2 linked regions of the Oreochromis niloticus genome follow. The protein of the gene in region 1 interacts with the protein of each later gene in a pairwise test. Links are inferred from orthologs where the notes say so. Each region holds a gene or a part of one and is shown in the gene's direction. Other genes may lie near its edges.

Region 1 (8,291 bases):
AGTAAAAGAAAAAAACACTGCAATAAAAATATGACTCATAAAAATTCAAAACAAATTCCAACACGGACACAAAGTAACTAAAAATATCTGCTCATGGGGAGTCACACGGCATCTGTCCTTAAAAAGAAAGCAGAAATGAATTTAAGGAAACTGCCTGTCAAAGCAAGTCATAGTTTTCTTCTCCTGTTCGACGGCCACTCTTCACAGTTACCTTTACAAATAATCACTCTTTCTTTGGTTGAGATCAAGTAGCTGATTTCTGTTCTCCCCACAGAAACTGATGGAGGTTCCTCTTGGAGAAAAAGTTCCTCGAAACAAATGAAGACTTCCAGACCTTTTTTCCAGACAGATCCTCATCAGAGGAGTGTACTATGAAGCAAGCTCAACAAAGCCAGGCTTTCTTTGCTTTAGCTGGCTTGACAGAACTTAAAATCCCAGTCAGACATAACTGCTGCTTCTCAACCTTCTCTGTTAATGGAAGCTTTCTGATCCGGGTTCACATTAAAGGTGGTGTATAACGCATTATTTCACAAAATGATTGAATGCCATTTACGTCAATCAGAGGAGGTCACTGAGAGAGATGAACGATATATTTTAAAAGAAAATGAAGCCAAAGATGAGTGCTGCAGAAAGCTTTTAACCTTGCCTAAAAATCTCAGTTTTAACGTGACAGTAGCAGATGAGAGCTTCTTCTCGATTGATCAAACCAGACAGTTTGTAGCATGTGACCGATCGCAGACTGAAAACTGGCAGCACAGCAGGGGATAATACAAAGGAAACTAAAGCTGTAATCTTAGAGAAATATGAACAGTTTAAACACAGAAAACAGAATCAGCAATGCTCCATCATTGGGATACAGGAGGACCTGACATGATTACAGCTAAATATTCCATTAATTTAACAGGCTTTGTTGTTTAATTTAGACTGAATACAGAAATTCTCCAGGAAACAGAGAAAAAAAAAAAAGCTACAAATAAAGTTTCTCCTAAAAATCTGCATTTCATGATTGATGCTTATCATTTAGACTGTCACTACAAACGCTGAGCTCCATGGGGAATGGATTCACTGTTTCAGGTGATTTCATATGTGCTTTGGTGTAGCTGCAGTGTAAATTACCATGGCGATGTAGCCCTGTAAGAAGGAAACCAAGGTTTAAACCTGACGTTAACTCCATAAGCCGAGTCCTGCTTTGATAGAACAGGACCAGGTTGCCTTAAGCATTAGTTATGGTGATCTAGCAGGTTAAACTGAGCCTGTGGTCATCAAGGTAGAGCAGGTAGGTGTGTGTGTGTGTGTGTGTGTGTGTGTGTGTGTGTGTGTGTGTGTGTGTGTGTGTGTGTGTGTTAGAATAAAAGCGCTGTATGAATGTGTGTGCTTGAAGTGAATGAGGCTTGTAGTAAAAAGCACTTTGAGGGTTCACGTTCATTTAAGAGATCCACCTTCATCGCAGTGAAAACTCTGACTTAAAGCTCGATATGCCCAACTAACTGATTTATCTCTCTTTGTAGTACACCTCTCTAGATTCAGACTGTTTTTAATTAGCATGTTTATTTTATTTTAAATGTATTTGAAATTTGTTGTTTTATTTTGAAGGAGACAAACCTTTGGAATGGGTCTAAAAAATCATTTATTTGTGATTTTCTTTTGCCCTCACGTTTTGTGCCTTTTAGGTAGCAGTGATGCACAAATTTTAAGATTTGAAAGGAAATAATTTGTGGTGTGGAGCTGGCTCTTGATGTAATAAACTCGGTTTGATTTATCCAGTTAAAAAAATGTAAATGTAAAAGTCAGTTCAGAATAAATGTATGTTTATTAACCAAAATGTAATTTTTTTTCAGTCTTTAACATTTTGTCTGAGAGTTTCTAGTTTTTTCTGCTTTATAAAAAGTGGGTGGATATATGAGGTTGAACATCATCTCAATAAATAGAATTATTTTAACGAAAGTGGAGTTACTGATGTCTGTTATGTTTTGACAGATTTTGTGGTGTTTTCATTAATACATTCTTCTGAAGTTACTTTAGCCAAATGTGACTTTTAAAGTGTTGTTTTTAATGAGAATTTAAACGTTACATTTGTAAACAACAAGATTACAGTTTACAGTCTAAAGAAATGATACAAACTTGTGTAAGGAGACGAGATTTCCTCTGTTTCGTGAATGCATCAGCACTGTTACTTACATAGAAACCCTGTAAGCAAAAGCAAAACTGTTATCAAATAAAACATTTAATGAATTCTGTATCAAAGAAAAAAGTCCAAGCTAAGACTTAAAGTTAACACAAAAATAATTTTTTAAATTTAAAATGTAAAGTACGTCTCATGTTACTTATTATTCTGTGATTGTATATCAGTGAGATTCAGATGCTTTATCTTAAGTAGCCCATAAGGATAACCATTCAGAGGGTTTAAATAACCTTTAATTGAATTTAAACACACTACAGTGAATTGATTGTTTGGAGATTTGGTATTTTCTTATTAAAAGTGCCTGAAAATAAGGAAAAAAGGCACAAGAATAAAGAATAAATGAATCATTCAGTCAAAAAAACATTGAACGTTTATACTATCTCTGCTGTTAGTATATATATATATATATCTATATATATATATATATATATATATATATATATATATATATATATATATATAGATATATAGATATATATATAGATATATAGATATATATATAGATATATAGATAGATATATAGATAGATATATAGATAGATAGATATATATATATAGATATATATATATAGATATATATATATAGATATATATATATAGATATAGATATAGATAGATATATATCTATATAGATATATATCTATATCTATATATCTATATATAGATATAGATATCTATATATAGATATAGATATCTATATATAGATATAGATATCTATATATAGATATAGATATCTATATCTATATATAGATATCTATATCTATATATAGATATATAGATATAGATATATATCTATATATAGATATATAGATATATCTATATGTATTGATCAGGTGTAACATTATGATCACCTACTTAATATTGTGTTGGTCCCCCTGTTGCTGCCAACTGTTCGCTCCATGGATCGGACTTGTTTGTCCAGCACGTCCCATAGATAACTGATTGGATCGAGATCCGGGAAATTTGGAAGTCGAGTCAACACTTCAAACTTGTTGCTGTGCTTCTCAAACCATTCCTGAACCATTTTTTGCTTTGTAGCAGGGTGTGTTACAATGCTGAAAGAGACCACAGCCATCGGGGAATACTGTTTCCATGATGATTGTGGATGTACATGACCCTAAATACTGCTTAGCTAGGTGGCAAATGTCAAAATAACATTCACTTTGTTGGCAGGACACAAAGGATTCCCAGCAGAACATTTCCTGAGGAATCGCACTGCCTCTGCCAAAAGATGACTCATTGGCCTGTAATCTGCCAAAAACATGTCAAACATATGCCTTATGAATATTATCACATCATTTTGACCCAGAAAGAATATTCCTATTACAAGGTGGAAACTTACGCTTATGGTGACTAAAGTTAAAACAAGATCTAAGAACCTTGTATACCTCTTGTATAACTGTTTGACTGTCTGGACAAGTTACACAAAAATCAATCTAAATATACACTCACTGGACATTTTATTAGGTACAACTTGCCAGTAATTTGCTAATACCTAATTTTTCATGGTGTAGATTCAACAAACATGCCTCAGAGACTTTAGTCCTTACAAGATAGCATCACAGCTGCTGCAGCTTTCTCGGTGGCTGTGATGTGAATCTCCTGTTCCACCACATACCAAAGGTGCTCTAATGCAGCGGTCCCCAACCTTTTTTGCGTCACGGACCGGTTTATGCCCGACAATATTTTCATGGACCGGCCTTTAAGGTGTCGCGGATAAATACAACAAAATAAAACTAGTACCGGTACCGAAAAAAAGAAGATTTATTCATAACACACGTGAAAAGACCCAGGAAAACCGAGTTAACGATAAAAACGATAACAAAATAACGCTGAAAACCGATAAAAACCCTGAAAAACACAAATTTCACACCTGAGCCTCAACTCTCGTGGCCCGGTACCAAACGATTCACGGACCGGTACCGGTCCGAGGCCCGGGGGTTGGGGACCACTGCTCTAATGGACTGAGGTCTGGTGCATGTGGAGGTCACTGGGTAGAGTGAACTTATTGTCATGTACAAGAAACCAGCTTGAGATGATCTGACATTTGTGACATGGTATGTTACTTAGGTCATAAACATTTTCATCCAGATAACTGCTGCTCACTGGATATTTTCCCTTCTTTGGACCATTATCTGTAAGCACTAGAGATGGTTATGTTATAAAATCCCATCAGATGAGCAGTTTCTGAAATACTCAGATTACCCCCCCCCGCCCAATACACTAACAATCATGCCACATTCAAAGTCACTTAAATCACCTTTCTTTATTGATCTGATGCTTGGTTTGAACTTCAGCAGGTTGTCTTGGCTGTGTCTACATGCCCAAATGCACTGAGCTGCTGCCACGTGATTGGCTGATTGGATATTTGCGTTACAAAGCAGTTGAACAGGTGTTCCTGGCTGGTTAGTTCATTTCCAGCTCATATATCTGCTTTATTTGTCATGCAATAATGAGGAACAAGGCCTTACCTGGCCATGAAACTGCTTCTCACTTATTGTCCAATTACTTTAGAGCCTTTGAATGTCATTCTTAAACAGATAATGGAATACTTTTTCCCATCCCCTTGAATGAAAGGTGAAAGTCTGCACTTCAGTCACATCTCCACTGTCTCCTCTGTGCACATACTCAGGACCCTGTGTCTCTGTGTGTGCTCACTTTCGCCCCCTGGTGTCAGACCTGCGGAGGGTTTCTCTAAAACCACGTGACTTCGGGGAAAAGGAGCGCCTTCACAGACTGAGCCGCAGAGCTGAAGAGGAGAAGGCAGTCAGTCCGCAGGCACCGCGGAGGAAACACAACCGAGGTAAACGAAACTTAAATCAACTTCCTTAATTTAACACCTTAGCGTCTATATTTGATTTTTTATAAATATAACATGCGGCGGTGGGAGGATGTTTGCAGCTGCTTTGTTGTTTCCAGTCCAGACTCCATTTAAAAAAGACCTAATTTTAGAAAGTTTTTGTCTTTCTTTTCTTTTTTAATGTGTGTCGGCTCTGTTTAAAGACCCGGCTTGAACACGAGGCTTGAACTTGGCTTTTTACGCGAAAGCAAATCGACCTTTATTCATATTTTTACATATTTCTTATGTCTAATATTGGATGTTTTTGATGTGCTCAGAGTGAAGCTGTGCTATTATTAAAAATGTGAGGCGGGGTGGGTGTAGGAGGGCATGTCGGGGCAGTTGATCGAAGTTGTTTGTGTTGATGTTTTGCCGCTGGCCTTGAAACTTTGCGGTGTTTTCAGCATTTTTAAAGAAGCAGCGATGGCAGCTGGGAGAATGCGTTCCACTCGCAGACTGCGCTCCTGGATCGTCGAACAGGTGTGTGGCTGTGTATGTGTGTGTGCATAAGTGTGAGAGGGTAAGGACAAATGAAAGAGGGGGGGGGACAGGGAGAGGAAAGGGGTGATTGAGAGGTCACTAACAAACATATATTCATAACTATGGGGCTGAAAATGACACCAGCAAAAGTTTAACTTTTCTCTTGTTAGAAAATCAGCTGCAATTGCATAATCTGCTTAAGCAAATTGTAGGTCAGCTGTGGAAAAATGCACTTTTCTGTTTCTACTATCATATAAATGTGTTATAGGTGGTTATTGCAACTTTTTGTTTTTATGAAACAGTTTGAACCCTGAATTATTAACTAAAGTCATAAACTGAATATCAGGAAATAACTGATTTTGACTTTAGGCCACAAAATTCTGTGTATTGTGTAGAAGTGATATCCGCTGAGGTTGAGCTCAGCTGCACTTTCAACAAGTTTATATTTTTTAGATTAGTTGGTTAAGAAATAAACAGATATTGCTCCAATTAAGTGAATGTGTTCTGCTTTTTCTTGTTTTCTGACATATATAAGTGAGATCAGTGCAAGTGCAAGCTTCACTGTAGCTCTAAACACTCAGTTTCAGGCAGTTTCTTCCACTCTTGGAGCTTTATGAGGTCACAGAGAGCAAATCAGGAGAGAGTTAGCCTGGAGAGAGCTAAAACAGCTAGTTTCAGACAGGATGAATTAATGGGGCACATCAAGGCCTGATATGAGATAAATAAGGATTATTCTGAACTGTTAATGATGCAAAGCTACTTTAGTAGAGTCCAGTAATAAAAACGCTCAGTTCAATTTTATTTATATAGTGCCAAATCACAACATCAGTCGCCTCATGTTGGTTATATATGGTTGATATATTGTAAGGTAAAGACCCCACAATAGTACAGAGACAACGACAAATAAATAAATAACTCCTTTTGAGCAAGCACTTGGCAACAGTGGGAAGAAAAAACTCCCTTTTAACAGGAAGAGCCCCCCACCAGAACCAGGCTGAAGAAGGGGCAGGATCTGCTGTGACTGATTGAGGGTGATGAAGAAGAGACAGGGCAAATTCCGTGACACAAAAAAACCAATACAATTGTCAGATTTGATCATTTCAGAACACTAAAGTTTGCATATTTTTGCTTTAAAGGTGGATGATGTTGTGTTTTCTGCAGTATTAGTCAATCTAAAAGTGTTTTTTCTACAAAGACATGCAGAAGAGGTGGCTGGTTAGCAGCCCTGATTTATGTCTGCAGGTATCCAGGTTCAGGTGAAATTCAGGAAATCTATAAGCTTCTTAAACTTTGCCGTGTTTTTTGGTTTGTTTCAGGTCAGCAGTGGGAAATATCCGGGACTGGTGTGGGATGACGAGGCCAAAACCATGTTCCGCATCCCCTGGAAGCATGCGGGGAAACAGGACTTCCGCAAAGACGAAGATGCTGCGATCTTCAAGGTAGCTCTTGAAATTCTCAAGATTTGCTTTAAATGCCACAAATCCAGTCTGCTTTAAATCTCTGAGATCGCCATCGCTGTTCTCCCCAGGCGTGGGCAGAGTTCAAGGGGAAGCTGACAGACGGGGGCCAGGACAACCCGGCCGCTTGGAAGACCCGTCTGCGCTGCGCCCTCAACAAGAGTCCTGAGTTTAAGGAGGTGATGGACCGAGCCCAGCTGGACATCTCAGAACCATACAAGGTGTACCGCCTGGTCCCCATCAGCGAGCAAGGTGAGACTTGAAGTACCTACTCAGCGCGCTCTGGCTAGGTCGTAGTACAACTTAGTTATACCTCAGCAGCAAAGCATTTGACTTACCTCAAACCTGATAACCTCAATGACAAAATCAGTCTCGCGGTCACACGAAGGTGGTTAAGTCAACCTAAAACTTCCCAGTGGGTCACATGAGGGCACACGAGGCAGGACAGACGTGTGACAGCAATTACAAAAACATACATGTGAAGCCTAGGCGAGGCCCGAATATGCAGTGTAAAGACGCTGAATTCATTAATGTAACCATGGATGTTTTTCTGTAAGAGCTCTGATAGTTGTTGTTCACACTTCACTGGCTCAGATGTCCTCCATCTCAAGACATCTGTATTTCATTAAGAATAACTGCTGTTTAAGATTTATTAGCTCACAGTCTAACACGAACAGCCCGGTTTCACTCCTGATGGCAGAACAATGCAGGCACACCAGCGCACAAGGACCCGTTGTGGTGGGAATTCAAAGCAGCACCATAAATTATACCGCTGCCTTGTTTTACGAAACCAGGAACAAAGTACAATATTTGAAAACTCTCAGTAGGTTTAAGACACAATACAGCCTGAGCAACAAAGCAGGCTGGGAGTGTGCATGAGAGGGAGAGTGTAGCGTGAAAAAGTCTTGTATATATGCTAACGAAGGTCAGTAAGACTGGAAAAGCTGGCAAAAATGTTGAATGTTAAAGTTCTTGGTATCCCTGCTCGATGATGAAAATGAATAGACCTAAACTACTCCTAAATCAATGTGAAGGTTTGGTGAAGGTATTTTTGTAGAGCATGTAAGATAGTTTTATAGTTTTTTCAGAATTGTTGAAAATTTTATACAAGATCAGCTAGTAAGCAGCTTAGGCTCCCTGTTTTAGTATAAACTTTGCGTATTTGATATAATCTCTGAGCCATCAGAGTCTTAAGAGGGTCTCTAAGACTACAGACTCTCTACCTACACAATGGGGTCGGGAAGTGGTGACCCTTTTTCTGAGAATTGTTAGGTCACTAAGTGGTGGGTGCTGGTATGCGTTGATCTCTTATCTGGAGCAGGTGTGGTTTGCAG
Region 2 (8,194 bases), on another chromosome or scaffold:
AGTAGCTTTAAACACTCTTGCCTACTTGAATTTTTAATATCTTAAAATGGAGTATTTACTTTTTGTGCATAACTTAACATAACCTAAAATTCTTTACAATTCAGTGGGAAGTAACAGCTTCAATTGGTAGTTTCTTTTCAGATGAATGTTAGCATAACAAAAACCATTATTCGCTTCAGTTTTATCTATATAGTGCCATATGCCCAAAACAGTCGCCTCAAGACGCTCTATGAAGAGGTAAAGATCCTAAAATATTACAGAGAAACCCCCAATAGGAAGGAAAAGCTCCCTTTAAACAGGAGAAAACCTTCAGTTTAACCGGGCTTAGTAAAGGGCAATCACTTGTCACTAAGGGTTGGGAGTGAGGGGAATAAGAAGAGAGAGCATAAACTCAACTATGGCAGCAAGAAGAGAAGAAAAGATTTAATTACATGCAGTGGTGGCATAAAAACACATGAGTAGTGAAAAGAGATGAGAGGAGAATTGCTCAGTGCATCACTGGAAGTTCCCCAGCAGTCTGAGCATTTAGCCACATAACTAATGGATAGTTCAGGGTCACCTGATTCAGCCCCAACCAGAAGCTTTAAAATAAAAGAGTTAGGTTTATTCATAAAAGCAGACAGGGTGTCTGCCTCCCAATTCTGGACTGAATTCTGGAGTTTACAGGGAGTCAATGGTAAAAAGTTAATATGGGAGACAGATGATCTCCCTTTCTGCCAGTACGCTCTGTGATTCATGCTTTGGATTAACTGAAGGCTTTCGAGGGATAATTCAGAATAGAAATAATGAATGCATGAACTAACTTGTCACCATTACTCTAAGGCAGGACATTCTAACTTTGGCAATACCATTCAGAAAGAAATAAAGAAGAAAGAAGGGAGTCCTATATATTTGTTTGCACATTGAACAACATATCGTGATCAAAATTGGCTCCAAGGTTCCTCACATTGCTGCTGGAGGCCAAGGTGATGCCATCCAGACAAAGCATCTGGGTAGAAAACACGTTTCTATGTTTTTTAGGGCTAACCTGAGCTTTATCACAATCAAGAAAACAGAATTATCAGCATTTAACGCTGCACTGGGGTCTAGCGGTACAAGCACAGACACAAGTACAATGTCAGACACCATAAGAATATTATTACCGTCCTTCACTAGTGCTGTTTCTGTGCAATAATAACCTCTAAATCTTGAGTGAAACTCTTCTAATAATCAGTTCCTCAGCAAATGATTTTGGAAACTAAAGGAAACTAAAGGTTGGAAACAATGGACAAAGAAGGGCAAGAGGTCTAGGCAGGGTGGCACATACCTCTTCGGTGAAGTACGGTGTGTGAAAATCCCCCAAATGTAAATGAAGTCAACAAAATATCAACAAAAAATTGTTTATTGTATCTCTTCTAAGAAAACAAAGGCTATAAGAGGCTTTTTGAATAAAAAACAATTAGTTTTTACCAGGGGGGGCCCTACAGCAGGGGGGTAGTTGCCCCCCTTGCCCCCCTATAGATCCACCCCTGGTTGGAAATCAGTCTGGAGTTGGCTATGATGGCTGAATTAAGTACAGAATTTTAAAGTAATGGTTTATTTACAGCCACTTTCAAAACCTGTGGTATATAACCTATGTTAGAAGATTATTACATAGATAATACACAGCAAAAAAAAGTCTAGTGGGGCTCCCTTGTCATGTTTCTGAAAATGATCAAGTTTGGATCAGCTCAACATGAGAGTGGCCTCCCAACACAAATCTTAAGAATGTTTAGTTCATGTAACTGTTGGAGGCCCTGAAAGGCAAAACTTTTGACTATTTCACAAAAAGGGAAGGACTAGAGAAAAGTCTGAACAATGAATCCAGTGTGTCGCATAAAGACAGCTTTTCTTTCTTCCTGTCATATGACTCATAGCCCTCAAATTAATTTTGAAACATTTTAGGATGACTTGATGTCAAAAATAGGAATTCCTAGGAATTTACAGAATATACAACATTTGAAGCAGTAATATTGGGGACACCTCTGTAAGTACACTGCATTGCCAACAGAGCAAAGGCTCTGAGTACTGCTTGCATCACTTCTTATTCATTGATTTATTTTTATACCTAAACTATAATTTGAAATTCCAATTCAACTGTTGAATGGCTGCAAAGTATGATGTAACCTGTTTCTTTCAAGCAGTACAGTGACTGGCCTGATGGGGGTGCTAAACTCTATAAAGCTCCACTGTGTAAAATAGATTCAGGAGGCCTGTTTGGGTGAAACTTGAGTAGATATCCAACTTGTGTGTGACTGACCCGAGGGCTGAATTTTGGGCAGATCTTGAAAAGCCAACATGCTTCCTCATGTCTGCTGGTATAAACTGATCCTCCCTTACCAAATTGTGGCAAGATTTCTTCTTCTTATTTTCTCCCCCACTTTGATTGCCTTCTATTATATGCCTATAATACTTTAATTTGCAGGTGCTTACTAAAGTACGCAGGTGTTATCCCACTAAAAAGAACTGTGATCTGCAGGTCCTTTGGAAGGTGACTATTGGGAGTATTTGACATGAAGATTACTCATGTGAGAAAAGAAGCAGAAGAAAACAATCGCCTGAGACAAAACAGTCTTCACAGTTAAATCTTTTGACTGCAGTCAAAAGACAAGCAAACTGGATTTGCCAGTGAAACAAACACAATTATAAAAGCTGAAGGTATATAAAAAAAACTTGCACCCTCAGTTTAACATTGTGGCTAAAATTGAAGGAAGGCTTTGAATAGCTCCAGTGCAGGTAAGCTGTCAAAAGGCAAGATTAGTGACTCAAGCCTTAAGTTACATTTTCTTGCTGCATGTAGGTGACCTTAATGTCTAGACTAGCCTGGGGTAAGCACAGAGTGCAATATACTTTAGAGGAATTTGGTCAGTTGGGAGTGAAATCACACTGGATGCAGTTTGAAAGAGACAGTCAAGTGTTATAATCAGTCACTGGTGTTCGCTGAAAGCCTGTTTCAGAATTAAGGTGAGGTATAGGGGCTAGGTTGATGAACCAGGTAACTGTCACGTTGTAGTTATGTATTTTCGGATATAATGGATTTTAAATAGGAACGCACACACACGCACACACACACACACACATAAATATATACGGTTAGAAAAAATGGTTCACATCAATTGCATAATACCACTGCACAATTTTAAAGAGGATCTTTAAAAACGTAACAGTTTTTTAAAAAAATTTGTTTTCAAAGGGATTCTTTTCACTAAACTATAATGATCCTGGTGCTGGTTTTGTTTCATGCCAGCTGCAGTGAATTCCTATAATTCACCCGTTTCTTTGCACACTGGCACAAAGGCTGCCAGCCTTCGATTAAAAAAAAAGAGAAGAAGAATCGGTGGGAAAAACGGGATGATTTTCCCTCTTCCAATCCAGATCTTTGTATTCGTTTGGGAAATCCCACAGACCCCCGCTACCGGTGAAAACTCCGCGGGAAAAACTCCCTGCAATTCCCTCTCGGCTACGCGCAGGCGAGCGTCACGTCAAGCATGCGCGAGCACGCGAACTCGCCACACCACGCGGGAAGCCCCTAAATGGACAGATACATTATCTGAGCCAGACTTGATGTGTGGGATTTCCCAATTTTCCTCCAAGTGAACTCACCCCGTTACATAAAAAGACCTGCGGGGTGTAATCAGGTGCAGTTACGCTATTTTTAAGCGCCGAAATTCAGGATACAGGTTATGACTAATGATCACATTTCTATTCACTCTTTGCCAAATTTCCCTCGAAGTGCACTCACACTATTATAACTACAATGCCCTTCTGCGTGTATTTTATGCAATCAAGCTAAGAGACTGAGTGTCGATATTTACGACACACAATATGAATGATCGCCATATTTCTATTCACCCCCGCAGTTTTGTGCCCAGTGTTTCATTACGTCGAATTTCACAAATGCTTGATATGATATTACTACACACACGCGCGCGCGCGCGCACACATGCAGGATGTCTGGAAAAAAACGCTCCGCGGGTCCTGTATTTGCGGATAAACAGCTGCTGCTGCTTCCGCATCGTCCGATGCTACTCTCTTTTCCCGCTGTCAAGACAGTACAAGAGTTCACTCAGCATGACCCATATCCATGCACCCAGCAAGCCGGTATCACACTGCCCCCAGCGGCCATTGAAAATTACTACACCATTTCTTGTAAATGCCTGACTTCTCAGGCAGATCGCTGTTTATACTAAAGGGTTGGTCCCATGCACATGTTTGTCATGCCAGACTGTGGGGGAAGACTTTTGGCTTGTGGAAGACGAAAGCGTGCGCGTGTGCTTTGGAAATGAATGCACGCGCTCTCAGACCTGTTATAAGAGGCCTTTCAGTCAATTCAATAATAAACCTTCAAATGGTATTTTTCTTTTAGTTATAACAGGGTGGTAATGCGCAAATATGCAGATATGACATGTTAACTTTGCACAACCTCCAAAGCAACGTTATTATAAGAATGTGATATTATGATCAGTATAACCGTAATGCGGTGCATAACAGGACGCGATAGTATAACAAGTCGGCTGTTACGGTTTAATGTCAAATCTTAATGTGAGTAAAATATAATTTGCCATTTGCAAATATTTGCACTTTTTGCACAAAGCACTATCTGTAAGGTGAATTGCTTAAAAAGGAGGGAGTGGGGAAACAAACTCGAGTGACACATGAGTTGGGTCATTTAGTTTGATGATCTAGTCTACGTGCAGCAATCAACTGTATTCCACGCGTGTTGTTTTTAACTTCCTTCTAGCTCTCAACAGCGTGATTTCTCGGAAACGGTTCTTTTGCTGAAGCAGAGGATCACAGCGCATGCTCCAAACACACTGTAAAAAATGTCAGTCCTATTATAAGAGGACTTTCAGTCAATTCAATAAAAAAAACCTTCAAATGGTATTTTTTTTAGTTACAACAGGGTGGTAATGCGCAAATATGCAGATATGACATTAATAAAGTAGCTACTGTAAGAAACTACGAGATTATCGTCAAATAACCAATACATTTTCAAAGGCTTGATAAACACACCTCTCACTTCTTTTGTCTTCTGAGGACATTTTTTATAGCACCAAGCCTCCTGCCGGGGAATACCCGCTACTGAGCTTACAGTATATAAGTGTGCAGAGAAAGCTGTCAGTACTCACTTGTACTCAGAAAACGTTTGCAAGTGGAACACTTAAAGACGAGACGAAGCTTTTCTTAAATCAACGGGATTATTGTTGCATTCTTTTCCTCCTGGAATCAAAGCAAATTAATCTGTAAGTATAGTGATATCAATTTAACATCGCTGCTGTATTTTTTAAAGGCTAAATGATGCTATTGGGATGATTTCTTTTTAAAATAGTATCTATTATTACTGTGGGAGTCTTTCTCTCACGCTGTGTGTTTGCATCTATTTGCATGTTATTTAATTCAATGCTCACTTTCAAAGGTTTTTTATGCACATTTCAAACTCGAATTTTTAATTCTGTGACATTTTTGCTCAGCCTATGTTGAGTTGCGCTCTTTTGCTCTAAGGAATTAAGAAACTTTTTTTTAGGTGGGGAATATTCGCTTACCATTTCAGATTTTTAAACTTTTGCGCTCCAGGATTAATAAAATCACTGCATAACTGCACGAGTTATTTTCAGTTATTTTTTTACTTTTTGTTCCTTCCAACCGTTCTAAACTAAAGTTGACTGCTACACGTAAACGCCTCCCTGTGCGCGCTGATTGCCCTGGCCATGAACTCTTATGTCCCGCGCAGCCAAGAAGCAGTAGTAAATCTAAGCCGGGGCTGAGATGCGAGAGTTTATTTCCTCTTACCGCTGTGCTTCACACGCTGCATTACAGCATTTCTCTAAACACTTTCTTCTGGATTTTTTTAGGCAAACATGCCAGTGTCAAGAATGAGGATGAGGCCATGGCTGGAGAAGATGATCGACTCCAATACAATTTGGGGCCTGGCTTGGATTGACAAGGTGAGAAGCTTTCTTATCCTATTATAATACGCTGAACTGGTTCATGTAAATAGGAACTGCCTGCAAATAAGTAATGACAATTCAGAGTACAGGAATAGATATTTGGAAATCTATTTGTTGTAAGATTGACACATCTCCCCATGAGACAGGGAAGTTATTTCTGCAAAGCTGCACATGTTTTTTTTGACACTGAGTTGTCCCCTTGCTGTGCATACAGTATTTGCGTGTTACAAACATTGACCTGGTTTGAAGCACTAGCTTGGGCTGGGTCTTAGTATTGCAGTGTTACTTTGAGGCGTACTATAGTTAAAGCCACTTTGCAGCTATGCCTGTGGCACTTCAAACTGGTGAAAATAACCACGATGAGGTAGCTGAACGGAAGCTTGGTTTCTGCTTGGGAGATAACACATTGCATTCTCTCAGTAAGCGCAATTACCCACAATCCAACTTAATATATATTGATTTTTTTATATTTCTTAGGAGAAAACAATGTTTTCCATCCCCTGGAAGCATGCAGCTCGACATGGCTGGGAGGTGGACAAAGACGCATGTCTGTTCAAAGAGTGGGCCAAACACACAGGTGAGCAAACTTGAATAAGCCTGCCACCTGTTCAGAACAATTCTTCTTTACAGGCTGACAAAGTGTACTAAACTATCATGTGCCAATGCATTTTACAGGGAAATATGTGGAGGGCCAAGTTTGTGACCCCAAGACATGGAAAGCCAACTTTCGCTGTGCAATGAACTCACTGCCTGACATCGAGGAGGTGAAAGACAAAAGTATTAACAAAGGCCACCAAGCTATGCGTGTCTTCAGGATGCTGCCTGCTAGTCAAAAATCTAAAGGTGAGAAAACTGACAGGAAATGAACGTTTGTTGGGTTTTCTTTGCAAATTAACATTGGCGCTCAGTATCTTCAATTCATGTGCTCTAAAGTCTCAGTGGTGAAGAAAGTAAGTGACCATAATGTTTTTCTTTCCTCTGCACAGATAAACGGACTAAATCAAGGGAGTCAAAGGGAAGGAAGAAGGTAAATGCTATCACTGTTACTATAGCTCTAGTGACACTTGTTTTTAAATAGCATACTCAAAATATTCCTCATTTACACTGATCCAGATACTGAATGTATAGCTTTCTAAAATAATTCTACTTTGTAGCTGTGCAGGAAACAGACATACACATATGGATTTGAATGTCTCGATTTTCATTTCAAACATCCCACTTAATTTCTCTTTGATTTGTTCTTGCAGAGTTCAGTGGTTAAGATGGAAGAGAGGGAAGACAGCTACAGTGACACTCAGTCTCCCATCCCTGCACTGATGCCAGAAAGCACACAAGAAAACAGAGTTGACAGCACAGTGCAGACAGACCAGCCAGGTGAGCAAGTTTGAAAAATCTGTACTGAAAATGATAAACATTGCATTTGAATCTAAAAGTCCAAGTGTACTCAATGTGTTTGTTTGCCATTTTTGCAGATTTCTTCTTTCCATCTGACGTTCCTGAATGGTCTTCAACAGTCGAGATTGGCCCTGACTCCTTCGTCAACAGATTTCAGGTTTCACCTGATCACAGCTCCGGTAAGATGACAACACATAGCTCATACTTGCTAGACTTTGGCTTAGCTTGGAATAATTAAACTTACATAGAAACTTAAATACTCATGTGTCTTTCTGTTTCTCTCCCCTTCTCATTGCTGTGATCGTGCAGACTACGACTATCCAGAAGATATTATTGAGGTAAGCATAAGCTACAGGTCTTACCCTAGCTAGAAAGTAATATTTCATTGACAGGAATACCCATGTTTGTCTTATTCTGCTTGGTTTGGCTCATGCAATAATACCCAAAACACTAATAAGCATGTTTTGTGTTGGAAAAACTAGTTGGGCCAAATATAGCCATACTCAATCCAGTGTTACTCTTTCAGATTTGCAGAAAACTGGAGAAAGAAACTTCACACTGGATGACAACAAGCAGTTTAGACGACAGGGGGTTCCTGAGCAATGAACCATGCACCAGTCCAGGGAGCCAGTGGAGTGAGTCTTCATCAGGTAAATGTTGCTAGTTGGAGGCTGTCATGTAGCTGCTGCTTAAACACCACAGTCCATGCCAGCAATTTAAGAATTCAGTAGAATTTAGTCAACATCAATAAATATGTATAGATTTTGTTGTAGATTACATTAGCAATCAGAATAGTGCTATCAGTTTTAAGTCACATTACTCCAAAATATATT

The links.
Region 2: the proteins of irf9 (region 1) and irf1b interact in a two-hybrid assay, tested with the Homo sapiens proteins (2 studies listed by BioGRID and IntAct). The link is inferred for Oreochromis niloticus from reciprocal best matches to the Homo sapiens genes IRF9 and IRF1.

Annotation. Positions count from the first base shown.
Region 1 is NC_031974.2:8,877,929-8,886,219, reverse strand, and holds the start of irf9 (interferon regulatory factor 9), read left to right. Parts: upstream 1-4,832; 5' UTR 4,833-4,984; intron 4,985-5,424; 5' UTR 5,425-5,443; coding exon 5,444-5,500; intron 5,501-6,816; coding exon 6,817-6,939; intron 6,940-7,028; coding exon 7,029-7,209; intron 7,210-8,291. Other genes in the region: E3 ubiquitin-protein ligase RNF31, read left to right, coding at 275-322.
Region 2 is NC_031975.2:21,938,755-21,946,948, reverse strand, and holds the start of irf1b (interferon regulatory factor 1b), read left to right. Parts: upstream 1-5,108; 5' UTR 5,109-5,261; intron 5,262-5,870; 5' UTR 5,871-5,876; coding exon 5,877-5,963; intron 5,964-6,443; coding exon 6,444-6,543; intron 6,544-6,641; coding exon 6,642-6,809; intron 6,810-6,952; coding exon 6,953-6,993; intron 6,994-7,213; coding exon 7,214-7,340; intron 7,341-7,438; coding exon 7,439-7,540; intron 7,541-7,670; coding exon 7,671-7,699; intron 7,700-7,887; coding exon 7,888-8,011; intron 8,012-8,194. UniProt on the Homo sapiens protein: Transcriptional regulator which displays a remarkable functional diversity in the regulation of cellular responses.